2 linked regions of the Notamacropus eugenii genome follow. The main gene of each other region encodes a partner of the protein of the gene in region 2 in a complex. Links are inferred from orthologs where the notes say so. Each region holds a gene or a part of one and is shown on either strand. Other genes may lie near its edges.

Evidence for each region. The genes of interacting proteins can lie anywhere in the genome.
Region 1: the proteins of NMT1 (region 2) and HPCA are in contact, whole or in part, in a crystal structure (PDB 7OWM), measured with the Homo sapiens proteins. The link is inferred for Notamacropus eugenii from reciprocal best matches to the Homo sapiens genes NMT1 and HPCA. Residues at the interface, in NP_066565.1 of Homo sapiens: Tyr180, Val181, Glu182, Asp183, Asp184, Asp185, Met187, Phe188, Arg189, Phe190, Tyr192, Ile245, Asn246, Phe247, Thr282, Ala283, Gly284, Tyr296, His298, Ser300, Lys310, Phe311, Ser312, His313, Tyr401, Leu403, Ser405, Tyr420, Gly468, Ile469; in NP_002134.2 of Homo sapiens: Gly2, Lys3, Gln4, Asn5, Ser6, Lys7, Leu8, Arg9.

Annotation. Positions count from the first base shown.
Region 1 is NC_092876.1:76,983,321-76,990,664, reverse strand, and holds the start of HPCA (neuron-specific calcium-binding protein hippocalcin), read left to right. Parts: upstream 1-4,250; 5' UTR 4,251-4,506; intron 4,507-5,047; 5' UTR 5,048-5,154; intron 5,155-7,344. UniProt on the Homo sapiens protein: Calcium-binding protein that may play a role in the regulation of voltage-dependent calcium channels. May also play a role in cyclic-nucleotide-mediated signaling through the regulation of adenylate and guanylate cyclases.
Region 2 is NC_092873.1:348,771,666-348,779,025, reverse strand, and holds the start of NMT1 (glycylpeptide N-tetradecanoyltransferase 1), read left to right. Parts: upstream 1-4,309; 5' UTR 4,310-4,327; coding exon 4,328-4,464; intron 4,465-7,360.

The DNA of each region.
Region 1 (7,344 bases), on a different chromosome or scaffold from region 2:
ACTTTTTGGGCTTTCAGTTTCCTTATCTGTAAAATGACTATGCTGGACATCCCTCATGCTCTTTCAGTTTGTTAAATTCTTACCTATCCTTTAAAGTCTTCCTCCAGGGCCACCTCTTCCAGGAAGCCATCTCTGACCCCATTCATGTGGTAACAGCTTTGGATGTAGAGCTACTCCATTTTAAGAATCACCTTCCCTCTTCAGCACTCAGTATCTCTCTAAGATGTTTATCATATATATTGTATGTGAGAACTATCTGTGTAGATGCCTTATTCCCCTATTAGACCCTGAACTCAATAGAGGCAGGAACCTGGGGCAGTGAATTGTATGTACAGTCTGGAGTCAGGAAGATTGATCTTCCTGAGTTCAAATCTCAGATACTTAGTAGCTGTGTGACCCTGGGCAAGTCACTTAACCCTATTTGCTTCAGTTCCTTCATCTGTAAAATGAGCTGAGAAGGAAATGGCAAATCACTCCAGGGTCTTCAAAGATAATGTCAAATGAGGTCATGAAGAGTCAGATTCTAATGAAAACAACTGAACAACAATCTCTCCCTGGATCCCTACCCTCTCTCCATTCCCAGTACAAGGTTCTGCATGCAGCAGGTGCTTAATTTAATTTTTATCGTATGAATGATTGCACAAACAGATGCACATTATTCCATTTTAAAGGTCCTTCCAGACAAGAAACTGGAGAGTGGACAAAATTCTGCAATCAGACTGGGAGGAATAGGATACAGAGGTTGGAAAGTACCCTAAGGGAGTTAAGAATGTTTCCAGTCATAGCTGAGAAACCTTGATTTGGAGTTAGGGGGCACAGGGTGAAATCTCATCCCATGACCCTTCTCTATAATGAGAGAAATGAACCAGATAGTCTTTAGGTATTTTTCCAGTGGGATAGCCTGTCACTCTTGGGCTACCTTTTCCTCATTCTATCCCTACCTATTTAATAGATGAATAAACTGAATCCGAGAGAGGGTATCTCCCCCAAGATTACCTTCCAGGTTGCCTGTAGCAGATGGGGTACAGCTTGCTAAGACGTGGTCTGTGAAGGACCCCAGTGATTGACCTCTCTGCTCCAGGTTTGGACTCCCCTGTCCTTCACAGCACAAGGCCCTGAAGCCCTGGGCTAATGAGTTTAGGCCAGGCCAGTGGATAGGTGGCCTCATTTCTCCTGGTGGGAAGTGGTAGGAATGGAAGAAAGAGACAGAATGGACCTCACCCTTGGGATATGACTGTTGCGCAAGCAGAGCAAAGAGCTATGGCCCTCTCGGAACTCTCGGACAATTCTGGGAAACAGGACACACCTCCAGGAGCAACTCTTCAAGTATAGTTATTATATACAAGGGGCTGAAGAGAGGGGTGTAGACAAAATGTGGCCCCTGAACACTCAGATGGGAGGAAGAAGAGATCAGGACAGAAAGATCCCAATGGTGCCTGAGCCCTGAATTGCTGTGCCACAGGAGGGAAGTACCTTCCCTCTCTGGGCTTCTATAAGTTTACTCTTCTATAAGAATGAGGACATTGGCATCCATGGTTCTCTTCTGCCTTTAAATCCCATGAACTTCTGATCCCATAAGTATTAAGAGATCAGGTTAGGAAAACTTGGGGGAATATATTGATTGAATAGCATGATGGAAGCAAAATCACAGAACGTCAGAGCTGGAAGAATTCCAAGCCAGGAGGGGAGAAATCTTAGAACAGTGAATGTTGGCACTAAAAGGAACCACAGGACATAGAGCAGGGGTGGGGAACCTGTGGCCTTGAGGCCACATGTGGCCCTCTGTGTCCTTAAGTGCAGTCCTTTGACTGAATCCAAATTTCACACAACAAAGGGTTTCCAGTTTGGATTCAGTCAAAGGGCTGTAGTTGAGGACACAGAGGGCTGCTGTATGTGGCCTCAAAGTCACAGGTTCCCCACCCCAATGGAGTTTGAGCTAGATGTGTCTAGGAAGATCTTAAAACACAGAAGGTAGACTGTCAGAGCAGTTGGTGGAGGGGTAGACTTAAGAGATTTTCGAATTTGATACTAATTTTTACATATGGGAAAACAAAGGCCTAGAGGTGGCAAATATCCCCACTGGACAGGTGGAGCAGGGAAGCCAGAGCACTCTAGGCCTGCAGGGATGGCACTGGTGACAGATAGAAGATGAGGCTTTGGGAATAGAAGAGTAAGGGATATGAGAGACACCCATCATGGGAGGAGAGAACCCCTTTTCCTGATATGCTGGTATATACCTTCTCTCTTCCCACCCCAGGCCTTAGACCCTTGTGGGGGATAGGGGTCCCAGTTCAGCTGAAGGACGGAGACCACTTCCGTGACTCACCCTTGAGCCTTTGCACAGCCAAACCCACCTGGCCCAGGAGATGGGTACTTCCCAAGGCCTTCATCTGGAGCTGACAAGCTGCAGAGGTTGTGGGGTGGGGCGGCAGAAGAATGAGATGACAGAGGGGAAGGGGGCCTCCCCTCCTTCCCTATGCCTCTGCCAGGACGCCGTGTGCAGGAGGCTGCTTTGGAACACACCCCCACACGAATGGCGTCTCTCACGCCTCCACCAGGGGGTTCCACGTGCCCTGGCACAGGGCTGTACAGAAACCGGGAGAAGCTGCTCACATTCCTTCAGGAGGTGCCGATTCCCTCCCCCAGCCATTCCCTCAGGGGACCTCTTGGCAGGCCCTGCCCCCTAGCCCATGATACCTGGTGCCTGATCTCTGAGAGTCACTGAGGTCCTGACCAGGAGAAATCAGCTTTGTCTTAGGGGGCAGGCTTGAGATTGGACCATGGGAGATGACTTTCTAATGAGGGAGGGGTGAGAAACACACTGGAACCCATAAGTCATTGACTAAGTCAGGAGCATAGTTTTAAAATTGGAAGGGACCTTAGAAGCTCCCTTCCCTTCCTCCCATTTTACAGATGAGGAAACTGAGATCACACAGTGACAGAGTCTAGATTTTAATCCAGTTCTCCTGACTTCTGATCCAGTGAGGAATCCTACTGCTTTAAAGGAATAAGGAAACTTTCCAGAGCAAGGTAGGGGTTGGGACTCTCAGGAGAGGGAATAATGGGAAAATAGGTCTTTTTCTCTGGACTCCCCGACACTTACCAGCTGGGTGATGTTGGACAACTCACTTAATTTCTGTCTGCCTCAGTTTCCTCAACTGTAAAATGGGAATAATAACTATATATACCTCCCAGAATTGTTATGAGGATCAAATGAGATAATATTTGTAAAGCACTTTAGTGCTGCTAGGTGATCCAGTGGATAGAGCCCCAGGCCTGGAGTCAGGAAGGCCTGGGTCCAACCCTCTTTGCCTCAGTTTCCTCATCTGTATAACAAGCTGGAGAAGGAAATGGCAACTCCCCCCCACCCCCAGTATCTTTGCCAAGAAAACTTCAAATGGGATCATGGAGAGTTGGACACAACTAAACAACAAGGAAGGGCACACAGTGCCTGGCACATAGTAGGTGTTCCTTTTCCAAAAGGAGGAGGTTATTAGAGGACCTCTCATCAGATCACAGCTGTAATAGTTTACATTTCTATAGTGCCTTGGGATGTTAAATCTATTTTATCTCAATTCATTAGGGTTTTCATGTACTCTGTGACCTTAGGTAAGTCATTCCCCTGCTCCAAACCTCAGTTTTCTCATCTGTGGAATGGTGATATTATTCACGTTACCAACATCAGAGGATCTTGGCACTTGGCAAATTTAAATCATCCTCACCACAACTCCCTGAAGCAGATAGGACTCAGGAGGCCCAGAGAAGGACAATGACTTGCCCAAGGTCAAACAGGTCAAAACCAACGTTTGAAACGAGGCGTCCCAGTTCCAAATCCTGAGACCTTTCTACTGTAAATTCAGGCCAAAAAAGAGAAAGTGACAGGCCCAGGGTGAGTCTGGGAATAAGTATCCTAGGCTAGACTTGAACCAGATCTTCTATCTTTAGGTTCCACCACCGTTCGAGTTCTATGGGCTCTACCTGGAATCCAGGTAGATGCTGCCCTGCTTGGAGCCAGGGGAAAGGAAGGGAAGTCTTCTCCCCTGCCATTGCCTAAGTCCATCCTCTCTACAACCAGGAGGCGGAGCAGGGTACAGGATGGGGGCCAAGGTCATGGAGCTCCCTCCCTCTCGGTGTGGCCCAGAGACCCTCAGACCTCAGCTGAGCCGCTACTTAATCCGCGTGTCCTCCCCGCCCCTCCACCCCGCAAGCCTCCCGCAGCAGCTCCTGCTTTGCGCCGGCGCGTGGGTGTGTGGGGAGGGGGCGGTTCCCGTCCTTACTTGCCCTAGTAACCTGTCTCCCCCCGCATCCCCCCGGCGCCCCTCTCCCTGCCTTGCAGTCTCTGGAGGGGTGCGCCTTTGGAGACCCCCAGGCGAGGGCTTCCAGGAGGGGTGTCCCGGGGGCGGGGCAGGGGAGGGGGCGTGGCTGCGGGTCGAGTCGCCCCACGAGGCGGGAGTGTGAGTGGGGAGGGGGTTCTCCTGGATCCCCTGGCTGCGCCTACCTCACCAGGTACCCAGCAGCGGGCCCCCAGCCCTTCTGCCTTGCTCCACTCAGCTCAGGGGGATCCGGGCCTAGGGAGGGGTATCTGGGGGCGGGAGCGGGGCGGTGCACTGGGAGGCGCCTCCAGCCTCCTCGGAGGGATGTAAGGTGCCTCGTGGGGCAGAGACCCGGGCTCCGGAGCAGGTGGGGAGGAGGGGAGAAGCACCAGGACCCTTCCCCCACCTTTACGGGGGCCCCCCCATTTCTGAGAGCTTGGGGTCTGAGAACTGGAGGGGAGGGGTGTGAGGAAAGAGCAGGGACACCGATACTACTTTGGGGAGAGGGATCTGGGTCCGGCTTGGTGCTGACCACCCTTTCCCAAATGAGAGGGTCGTGAGCGAGGCGAGGTCCACACCCCCGCAATTAGCGTCCGTTCGGGCCGGGGGCGTTAGGGAGTCCCTGGGGAGAGGGAGGGGCTCCAAGGCTGAGCCTGGGGAGGAGGGAGGTGGTAGGACTGCCTGAGGGGCGTCTCCCTCCCGCCTTCCAGCACCCCCTTCCTCCTGCCTTCCAGCATCCCCCTCCTCCCGGGCCTCCCCCCGCCCCTCCGGCCGCCCTCAGCCGCCTCCCCCGTTGCAGCGCCTCGGCTTCCCTGCGTAGTCAGTGTCTTCTTGCAGAGGGGTGAGTGGGGGCTGCGCTCCAGGGAGGGGCTGGGGGGGCTCTAGAAGGTGGGGGAGGATGCCCAGGGGAGAGGAATGGGGGAACTACTCCTGGGACCCCCGCCCCCTCTTCTCTAGAAGCCGGATTCGCTGCTTGGCCCGGGGATCCCCATTTCTCCACTGCCTCCTCTGCCTGGGGAACTGGAGCAGGAGCCCCACTGCAAATACTGGGGCGGGGGTATCCAGCGAGAGCGGGGTAATATGGGTAGGAGCATCCCAGAGCAAGGACGGGAATCCTGGGGCTGGGAGGGTGTCCCAGAACCGAGGTGGAACAATGTGGGTATTATCGGCAGTTACGGTAGGGATGCAGAATCAGGGGCTTTGGGGTTTTGAGGGCGAACCCGAGAGGTAGGAATGTGGGACGATGGAATGGGGCCAGGGAAGGGAGAGGAACGGATGGACCAGGAGCCTCCGGCAGACCCAGGGAAACTTGGGTTCAGGGTTTGGAGCCCCAGAATGGTCTATGGCAGCTCTTTCAGGCCAGACTGGGAGTTCTGGAGATGGGTTTCCAGTTGTGTGAGGACTGGGTGTGGGCAGAGGAGGGGAGCTCTGGCACTTTTCTGGAGAGGGGAAACCGGGATGCTTTTCTCCTTCTTGAGGGGTGGAGGAAGGATCTTTGGGACTACTACCTCTAGCCCCTGTTTTTTGGTCCCCTTTTGGCTTTGAGGAGGGGGGTGGGGTTGAAGTCATTTTGGAAGGCTGCAGAAAGGAGAAGGTGCTGTCCTGGTATGCCACCCTCCCTCCTGCCAGTGATCTAAGGCCTGAGAAGGCAGACCTTGCCCTTTCCTTGCTGCTTTCTAGAGCCCCTTTATGCTGGAGCCAAGTCCTCTCCATACTGCAGGCCTGGCTTTTTGGATAGCAGAAAAGCTAATGAATGGGGCCTACTTCCCTAACTGACTTCCCCCCTTCCTCCCCCCACCCCGCACAGATGGGGGGCATATCACTGGCCTGAGCCCCAGCCCAAAGCCTCAAGAGTTGGGCAGGTAGGTGGCATATCAGGGTTCTTAGGACAGGGAGGACCTATCCAAGAGGGACGGGAATACATATGCAGGCCATCTGAATATATCAACACATTGCTGGACATGGGTGCAGATGCATGCATATGTAGATAACATGCATGGTCACAGGTTTATGCACACACATGCACTCATGTTTCTGCATGCCTACATTTATGTACAAGAACACAAAACCATGCATTTTGCAGGCATATATCACTCCATGTGCATATGCAAATATATTATTCCATGTGTATGCACAAACATGTCCAGTACAATTACATGCACACACAAATCTGTACATGAACACATAGAGTAACATGGACTCACTGAGACTGCTGCCCTTTCTTTCTCTGCCTCTGTCTCTGTCTCTCACATACAAACACACACTCACACACCCAGCTTGGTCAGCCATTTCCAGGATGCCCTTCTCCCCTTCTGTTCCCTCTCTTCTCTTTTTTCCTATGAAGGAGGGCTCTTCCAGACCTTATGGGGGGCAGGTAGTCAGGGGGCAACAGGAGGAGAATGACAAAGGGCTGCTGCCCTATCTTCTATAACGTTCCTAGTGTACAAAGGGGTACAGGAGGGGTGTAATGGCCAGTGTCTAGGCGTATGATTACATATACACGACTGTGTGTCAACTTTCTGAAGAGTGGTAGAGGGGGCAGAAAAGAAAGCCCTGGCCTGGAACTCAAGAGGCCTGGGTATCAGTCATAGCCCACGGATTTGCTGTGTGACCTCGGACCAGTCACTTCCCCTCCAGTTTCTTCATCTGTAAAAGAACAAGGTAGAGTTCCATGGTTGGCACTGTCCATCACTCTCACCTGAGAATTTTACAGTATCGCGTCATGAGTTATGTGATAGCAGTCTTATGTGTGCTTGGGTACAAGTGAGGCCATGCAAAGAGCAGAGGGAAATAGCAGGATGAGGTAGGGTGAGCAAGAATTAGCTGGGAGGCTGAAATGTCTAGGTCCATCCTGTTCTCACCGAAGAATTTCCCCTCTGAGCCTGTTCTTGGGGGAAGTATAAGCATCTCAGGTCAGGAGGGTGATGGGGTCTGAAAGAAAGCAGGCTCTCAGTCCTCTCCAACCTTCCTCTGGTTGTTTTTCCTTTCCTGGTCCCCCCCATCTTTCCCTTCCTGCTTGTAACTGTTCATC
Region 2 (7,360 bases):
CAAATCATAAAAACATAAACAATACAGGTGTTTTTTAAGTAAAAAATTCATCCAGTGATAGTATTACCAGGGCCAGGTCATAGCAGATCTTCTTGCAAATGACATTCATAATGACCAGGAACAACACAAGAAGCATCAGGTTCATCGCACAGAAGATGGAATCTCCAAAGTCATCACCAATCTCCATCATAGGTCTGGCTCACCTATGACAAAGTAGCTGACAGGTCAGAAGTCTCTTGTAGGCAATCTACCACTTGACCTGAGGTGATGGGGGATTCTGTTTGTATCAACAACCATTCATTTAAAAGAAAATGCACAGAAGAAAACAGAAGGAAGTTCAGAAGAAAAAAAACAAATAGGACTGCTTCAAAACTAGAATGTTCAGATCTCCTAGTTGAGCCTAAAGTTAAATCTTATAAACAAGACTGAAGCAGATCAAAAAGCCAAAACTGAAAATCATATAAACATAGAAGAAAAAGCTGGGATAGAGAACAAGACAGAAAATCTAAGAGAAAATAATATAAAAGAAAAATTAACTTATCTTAACCTAATTCTTTCACATCAGAGCACAAAAGAACCATAAAGCACAAAGACAAGACTTTTCTGCAAGACAAAAGAGAATATGAAGATTTTTTTTTAAAGCATGAAGTCTACAAGTCAAGAAAAACAGTGAAAAAACTAATATTCAATGGAAGGAAAGTGTTACTAAGAATGAGGTCAACAGCACCATGGAAGTCATTAAATCTGAATGTGACACTGAGTCTAATAACAGTGATCTGATAAATGTGAATACTGCTGAGTTTAGGGATATAAGAGAAGAGAATGAGAGTAGGACTGAAGACGAGAACTGACAATATTCTCCTGTAGTAAGAGAGCCTCAGTCTCACCCTATTATGACCATCTAGAAGGTGACTTCCAGAAGGGTAGGAAGATCAGACAGATTATGATCTAAAAAGTTTTTAAATAATTCTGAAGATATCAAAAGGATCAATTTTAAAATGAGTTAAAAGAAAGCTGTCCTGGAATAGAAAAAAAAATAAAAGTTTATTTTAATTAAAAATAAATTCAGGACATGCTGTGAACTTCCAGAGCTCAGAATACATGTTAATAGCATAACATTCCAAACAGGACATGACACACCACCAGCAACAGGTTGGGTCTCTAGAGGGTGGTTGTTACTATCCCTGAGTCCTATGGACAACCCTATGGATGACTATTTTCCTAAATACTAGAACATGAGCTCTTGCTGGTGGACTTCCCTTTACTCATTAGTAGATTCAGTTTTTTAGCAAAGAACTCATATGACATAGCAAGGTCAGGAGTTACAAAGCATTTCTCCCGATTATCAGAGGCACAGTCTCATGAACACACAGTCCCTCCAGGAAGAAGAGTACACCAGACTTATGAAAAACATGTGTAGGGTACACATGTGGCCAAGACAATTCACAATTCCAATACTACAAAGATTCGATATCCTTCCTCTTTCCAGAAGATGCCAAGAAGTTCATTCACCTCAGAACATCCCCTCATTTCTTTCAAAGTAGGATGCACTACTTTGGGACTTCTCAGACTTTTCCACCATGTCCCAGATATTCCATTATTGAAATTTACCTTCCTTTGGAGAAGAGAGAGAAGGAGGAGAGGGAGAGGGAAGAAGGAGAGGGAGAAGGAGAGAGGGAAAGAGGGAGAGGGAGAGGGAAAGGGAGATAGAGAGGAAGACAGAGAGGGAGAAGGAGAGAAAGAGGAAGAGGGAGGGGGTGAACTGAGTTACCCAACTGGCTGGGTCTCCATTCAAGAAGCTCAGTCTACTCACAGGTTGTGTTACTCAAATCAAAGTCAACTGCAAGTCATGTCATCATTCCTCACCCCTCCAAGTCATGACCCTCTTCGAAAACAAAGAACACAACAACAATAACTTTATTATTGGGAAAACTTCATTATCCCATAAAATTCCATTAGCTTTGGTACTCCACCTCATCACAAGCCTCAGTTCCACTGTTTGCAGAGTAGAGCCAAGAACTGCCCCCTCCCCCCATTCTCTTCAGCTTCCTTTTAAGCGTTGTCTTCCTCAATTAAATTGTGAGTTCTCTGAGGGGAGGCAAGGACTGTCTTTCTCTTTCCATGGTAGGCATCTAATAAATATTTAATAACGAAGATGATGGTGTTAGATACGTCCACCTGAAATAAAGAAGGCTACCAACGTGGCAAAAAAAAAGATTTTTTAATAGAGGCAAAGGAATTGCAATTGGGGGGACACCAGAAGACAACAAAGTCCTGGAGTGCCCAAAAGGGGCAGGGTTTAAATACATTTCAATAGGGTGGGAACATCAAGGGAGCCACAGCCTCCACAAGCAGTTAAGTTGTTTTTTATAGTCCATAGCAAAGCCTAGGGAGTTTGGAATGGTAACAGCTGGTCCTCTTTTCTTTCTTTTTTTTTTTTTTAAACTAGTTTGGATGGTCCTCTTTTAGCTGGTTTAGGTCTCCCTCAGGCAACTGGTAGCTTTGGATCTGGCAAGGTCAGTTCTTAGCTAGCTGCATTCAACAACAGTTGACATTTATATAGCACTTATTAGATGAAGGGCACTATGCAGAACACTCTACAGTTATCTCATTTGATCCTCACAATAATCCTGGGAGATAGGTGCTATTATATGCCCATTTTGCAGTGAGATGAAGGTTAAGTGACTTGCCCAGGATCATGCTTTATTGACTATGAGCTCTCTGCAGTTAAATTTTACAGAACAAATCCTTTTATTAAGGGAATTTATTCTGTGAAGTTTGGATTCAGCCAAAGGGCCTCACTTGTGGGTCTGCCTAGAGGGTCACATGCAGCCTCGAGGTTGAAGGTTCCCTACCCCTGAGCTAGGCAGTCACTCAGTGCCAAAGGGGTAGGCTCCTTAGCCATTGTCCTCATCTAAGTGTGATGTCTCTGCCTTTGGTCCCAGGTCCCTTCACCCAGCCTTCTCCACCACTTCGATGAGTTGTAAGGAGACTGTTAATAGGATGGAAAGTAGGTGAGGAAACTAAGGTTAAGTGACTTGTCCAGGGTTATACAGCTAGCAAGTGTTTGAGGCTGGATTTGAACACAATAATCCTAACTCCAGGCTCAATGCTCTATCCATTGCTCCACATAAAAGAAAAATTATTTCAAATGCAATAAAAACTGTTCTTAAGACTAAAAAGGATACAATTCAGATAAAATGCTGGCTACTTCACCTTCACCTGGCAATGGTCAGGCTAGGTCAGAAAGGTGACCTCACACAGCAGTGTGCCTTCCCTCTGTGGATTATTTCCTATTCATTTTGTGTACAGCTTGCTTGTTCATAATTGTTAGCAGTTTGTCCATTAGCTGGTGAGCTTCTGGAGGGCAGGATCTGTCTTTTACCTTTCTTTGTATCCCCAGCGCTTAGCACAGTGCCTAGCACACAAAGGGCTGTTAATAAATGCTTACTGATTCAGTGATTGGGCTAAATCTCCTAACCCAACTCCCAAGCCTCAAGACGCAAAGAAGCCAAACCGATCATAACCAATGTAAGAACCTCTCCAACTACTATGAAGGGGAAACCAGCTCACCCTCCGTAAAACAGCTGCTGCTCCTATCGTACATTGATGGGTTTAGTAGGCGTCGGGATTTAATCTGCTCCACTATGTTCAGGGACCAAGTGGAGTGGGGGGGAAGAGGGATAGATTAGCCCTCACCTTTTGGATACAGGTCCATCCGAGCTTTTAGTTCTGGGCTAAAAGAACCTCTCTTCCATTCCCCTCCATCCCCCACACAGTTGGTCCTCTCCCCCCAAACACTTCCTCTAAGAAACACGCCAGCCTTGGAGAATTCCCCTCCTGTCCGCACCCTCGGGCCTCTCTCACTTACCCCAGAACGGTAACGGTTATTAACGGTAGCAAATAAACTGATCGCTTAGGACCTTGGGTTGGAAAAGGATAGGTTAAAGTCAAACCTCAGGTCTTGGAAAAGTCCATGTGGGGTACCCTAGGTAGGCTGAGAACTACAACTCCCAGCATTCCACTCTTAGGGAAGTGTCTACCCTCCCCCACCTTTAAGGCCCCTCTTTCCTCGAATCCCGAAGACCTCCGGGGACTGTCCCTCCTCCAAGAAGACTTTACTGTTAGCAGCGATCCTCCCCCTGACCTCGTGATTTCTGGGTAACGTAGTCCGTTCTGATCGGTTTTCAGAAAATGAGCCCTCCCCTTCTACCCGTTCGTTACCTTCCGTAAAGACTACAAAGCCCAGAAAACATCGCCGGTTCCTCCTCGTCCAATAGCGGTGCCTCATGTTGCGGGGCGCGGAGCCCGGCTCTCCCAACTCAAGATGGCGGATGAGAGTGAGACAGCAGTGAAGCAGCCGCCGCCGCCGCCTCCGGCGCCGCAGCTGATGGAAGGGAACGGGAACGGCCATGAGCACTGCAGCGACTGCGAGAACGAGGAGGAGAACAGCTACAACCGGGGGTAACGAGTTCCTCCGAGCCCACTTCCCAATCCGTCTCTTCGCAACCTGGTTCTCGGGGAGGGGGGAAGGGGGGTTATGGGGAACATCCCGGAGCCCAGCCTAACCCCACCTTCGTATTCTCATTTGCTAAGGCTGTGGGATCCTGACTGGTGATTGGCTACCTTCTTTGTCAATTACCGGGGTGGAGACTGTGCAATCAGGGCCTGAGATATTCAATACTCCTATTATATAAAAGTTCTCTGTTACAGTAGTACTTCAGCGTGCTACAGGCCCAACTGAGGGAGGGGTGTTTTTTGTTTTTAATTTTTGTGGCACAGCATTTTGGATCCCCATCACAGGGTCCTCCAAAGACGGAAAGCTGCAGAGAGAGAGAGAGAGAGAGAGATACCCGGTGCAGAGGATAACCTCTTCTCAATAAAGTAGCAATAAATAGTTCTCTTTAGTGTAGTGCTTTTACCTGCGAAGAAGCCCAGCAGGCTTTACAGACCATAATTACGTTATAAAATAACATTTTCTATCCTCATGTTATTGCTCTTTACCGCCAAAGGATCTTCAGTCCTGAAGGGCCTTATAAACCCTAGGTGGTAGTTAGAAGATGATGCCCCTTGTGCCAAAGAGTCCGTAAGATTCATGAGCATCTATAATTAGGTGTACTAGAATATTTTACCGTTATCTGTCCAAGTTAGAGGCAGCCAGACATAGTAGATAGAGGACTGGCCTCCCAGATTGGTATTAACCTGGGCACTAGTCCTACCTCGAAAATCTAGCCTTATGAGAATAAGAAAGTCATTTAGTGCCCTAGGCGACTCGTCAAGATTTATAAGTTATGGATGACTTGCTGATTTGTATCTGCATCAGGAATTTCAATACTGGGAGTTCCCAGATAAAGGAAGATTCTTGAGAGCCAGGACTGTGTGGTTTTTGTCTTTGTATTTACTGTGCCTGGCACACAACCTAGGCTTAATACGTGCTTGATGAATTGAATTGATAAAACCACGAGTCCAGACAGAAACAAAACCATCCAAGTACCCTCTCCCACAAAATTCAAGGAGATATCATAGAGTTGTGCTTTTTATATCCAATGGCTCTGAGTCTAATACTGCATCCTTTGTTCAACATTTTGAGGAGAGTACTGATTATTAAACTTCCTTCTCCAGGCTTAAAACGATAGTTTTATACAGTACTATCCAAAAAAAAAGGAAATTGATTTGGGCATTGGAGTATGAAAGAGTTTTTTTTAAATGGGTCAGATTTTTGCCTTAGAACAGCCAACCCATTACTAATAAGCTATACCCTGCCATTCGTTTTTCATTTTCAGACTATTTCAAAGTTTAAGTTCTTTACCAAAAAGCATGGTGGCATGTGATATCATGATAAGTTGGTGTGAGTTTGGTCATAGTAGCCATGCTGATAATTTCTTGTATTGGACCTGGCCCAGCCGCAAGAATCCTCTAGAAAGTGAGAAAAAGTCATGTTGTCAGAGTTTTGGTTTTATCATGTTGCAGCGAGTTTTTCATAGAAGATACATTGTTATAAAAGCTTGCATTTTGGCAAATGAATGGAAATGTTTAAAAGGAAAAAGCAGAACAGGAAGGAAGTTGCAGTTGTTCCAGGGAAAGGTTAAGGTCAGATATGAGAATTGGTGAAAGTGAAAGTCATTTTTGGAGTGAGAGAACCAATCTTTTTCTTTTATCTTTGGATAGTTTATTTTAACTTTCCTTGTCGAACAGTGGCTATGAGTACATTCTCCTCTTAATCATCTGTCTGTAGGACTAAGGCTAGATTTGTTTTCTGTAATCTTTTTTTCTAAAATCCTTTTGCAAAATCTTTTCTCAAAACTTTTTTGTTGTTATTTATGGTATAACAAAGTGGCAGCTTTTTTAAAAAGGCAAGTTCAGTACTTGGTTTTGTTCTGTTGGCACAAATGAACTTCTAATATCACTCTTGTAGAAATGTGAATAAATGAAAAATGAAAGCTGCATCATAGAGGGGAAGCACTAGTTCTGATCCTTAGACTTTAAAAATGTGCCTGCAGCTCTTACCTGAGATAAGTTCTTTACTTTTGGTGTCGCCAGAGAGACTCAGTCCTGCCCTACTCTTTTCAGTCCCTTTTGCACAGAGTGAGAAAAACATCACATTATACTTCCACTACCTTTTTTTTCTTTCTCCAAAGATTGATGTTACAAATTTTGTGCATTTGCAAAGGGCCAAAATAATTTCATGGTCTTCATATTCAGAGTAGAAACCTTCTACAGAGTACCCAGTGAAAATTAATGGTAGGAAAAGTATTCCTGAAATTTTCTTAGGCTTTTATATTGGTGTGGATCATGGCACTTATGAGTTATAAATCATTCACTGAGTGAATTGTAACAGACTTTGAAATTCAATTAGACAAACTTTATGTCTTTGAAGTTATCGTTATTAATTTTATCGTTTTTAATTTTTAAAAACATTACATGATTAAATGCTTTTATAGACGTTCTCATGTGATTTTCCCAGTAGATTGTGAGATAATGACTTAAGTCTTGATCTCTCAGTAATTTTGCCTTCTTTATAAATCAATAGAACATAAGCATTCTGGGTGAATGCTGTAGAAAAATGAACCTGTGTGCAAATTTTTTTCTTCTGATTTTCTAGTATTTTATTTCTTCTTAGAAGGGTATTTAGGTATGTGAGTAAATAAAATTCATATTTTTATTTTTCTTGATGACTTTTCCTGGACAGATGAGTGTCTTGGACTAGATAATTTCCAAGATTCTTTACAAAAATTCTATTATTTTTAAATGACAAGGCTCTGCAGAAGCCTTTGCTCATCTGTATGCTTTATAGTGGTGGTATTTTTTTGTTGTTGTTGTTTGTTTTTAATGTAAAGCTTCCAAAGAAGTAGTGATACAA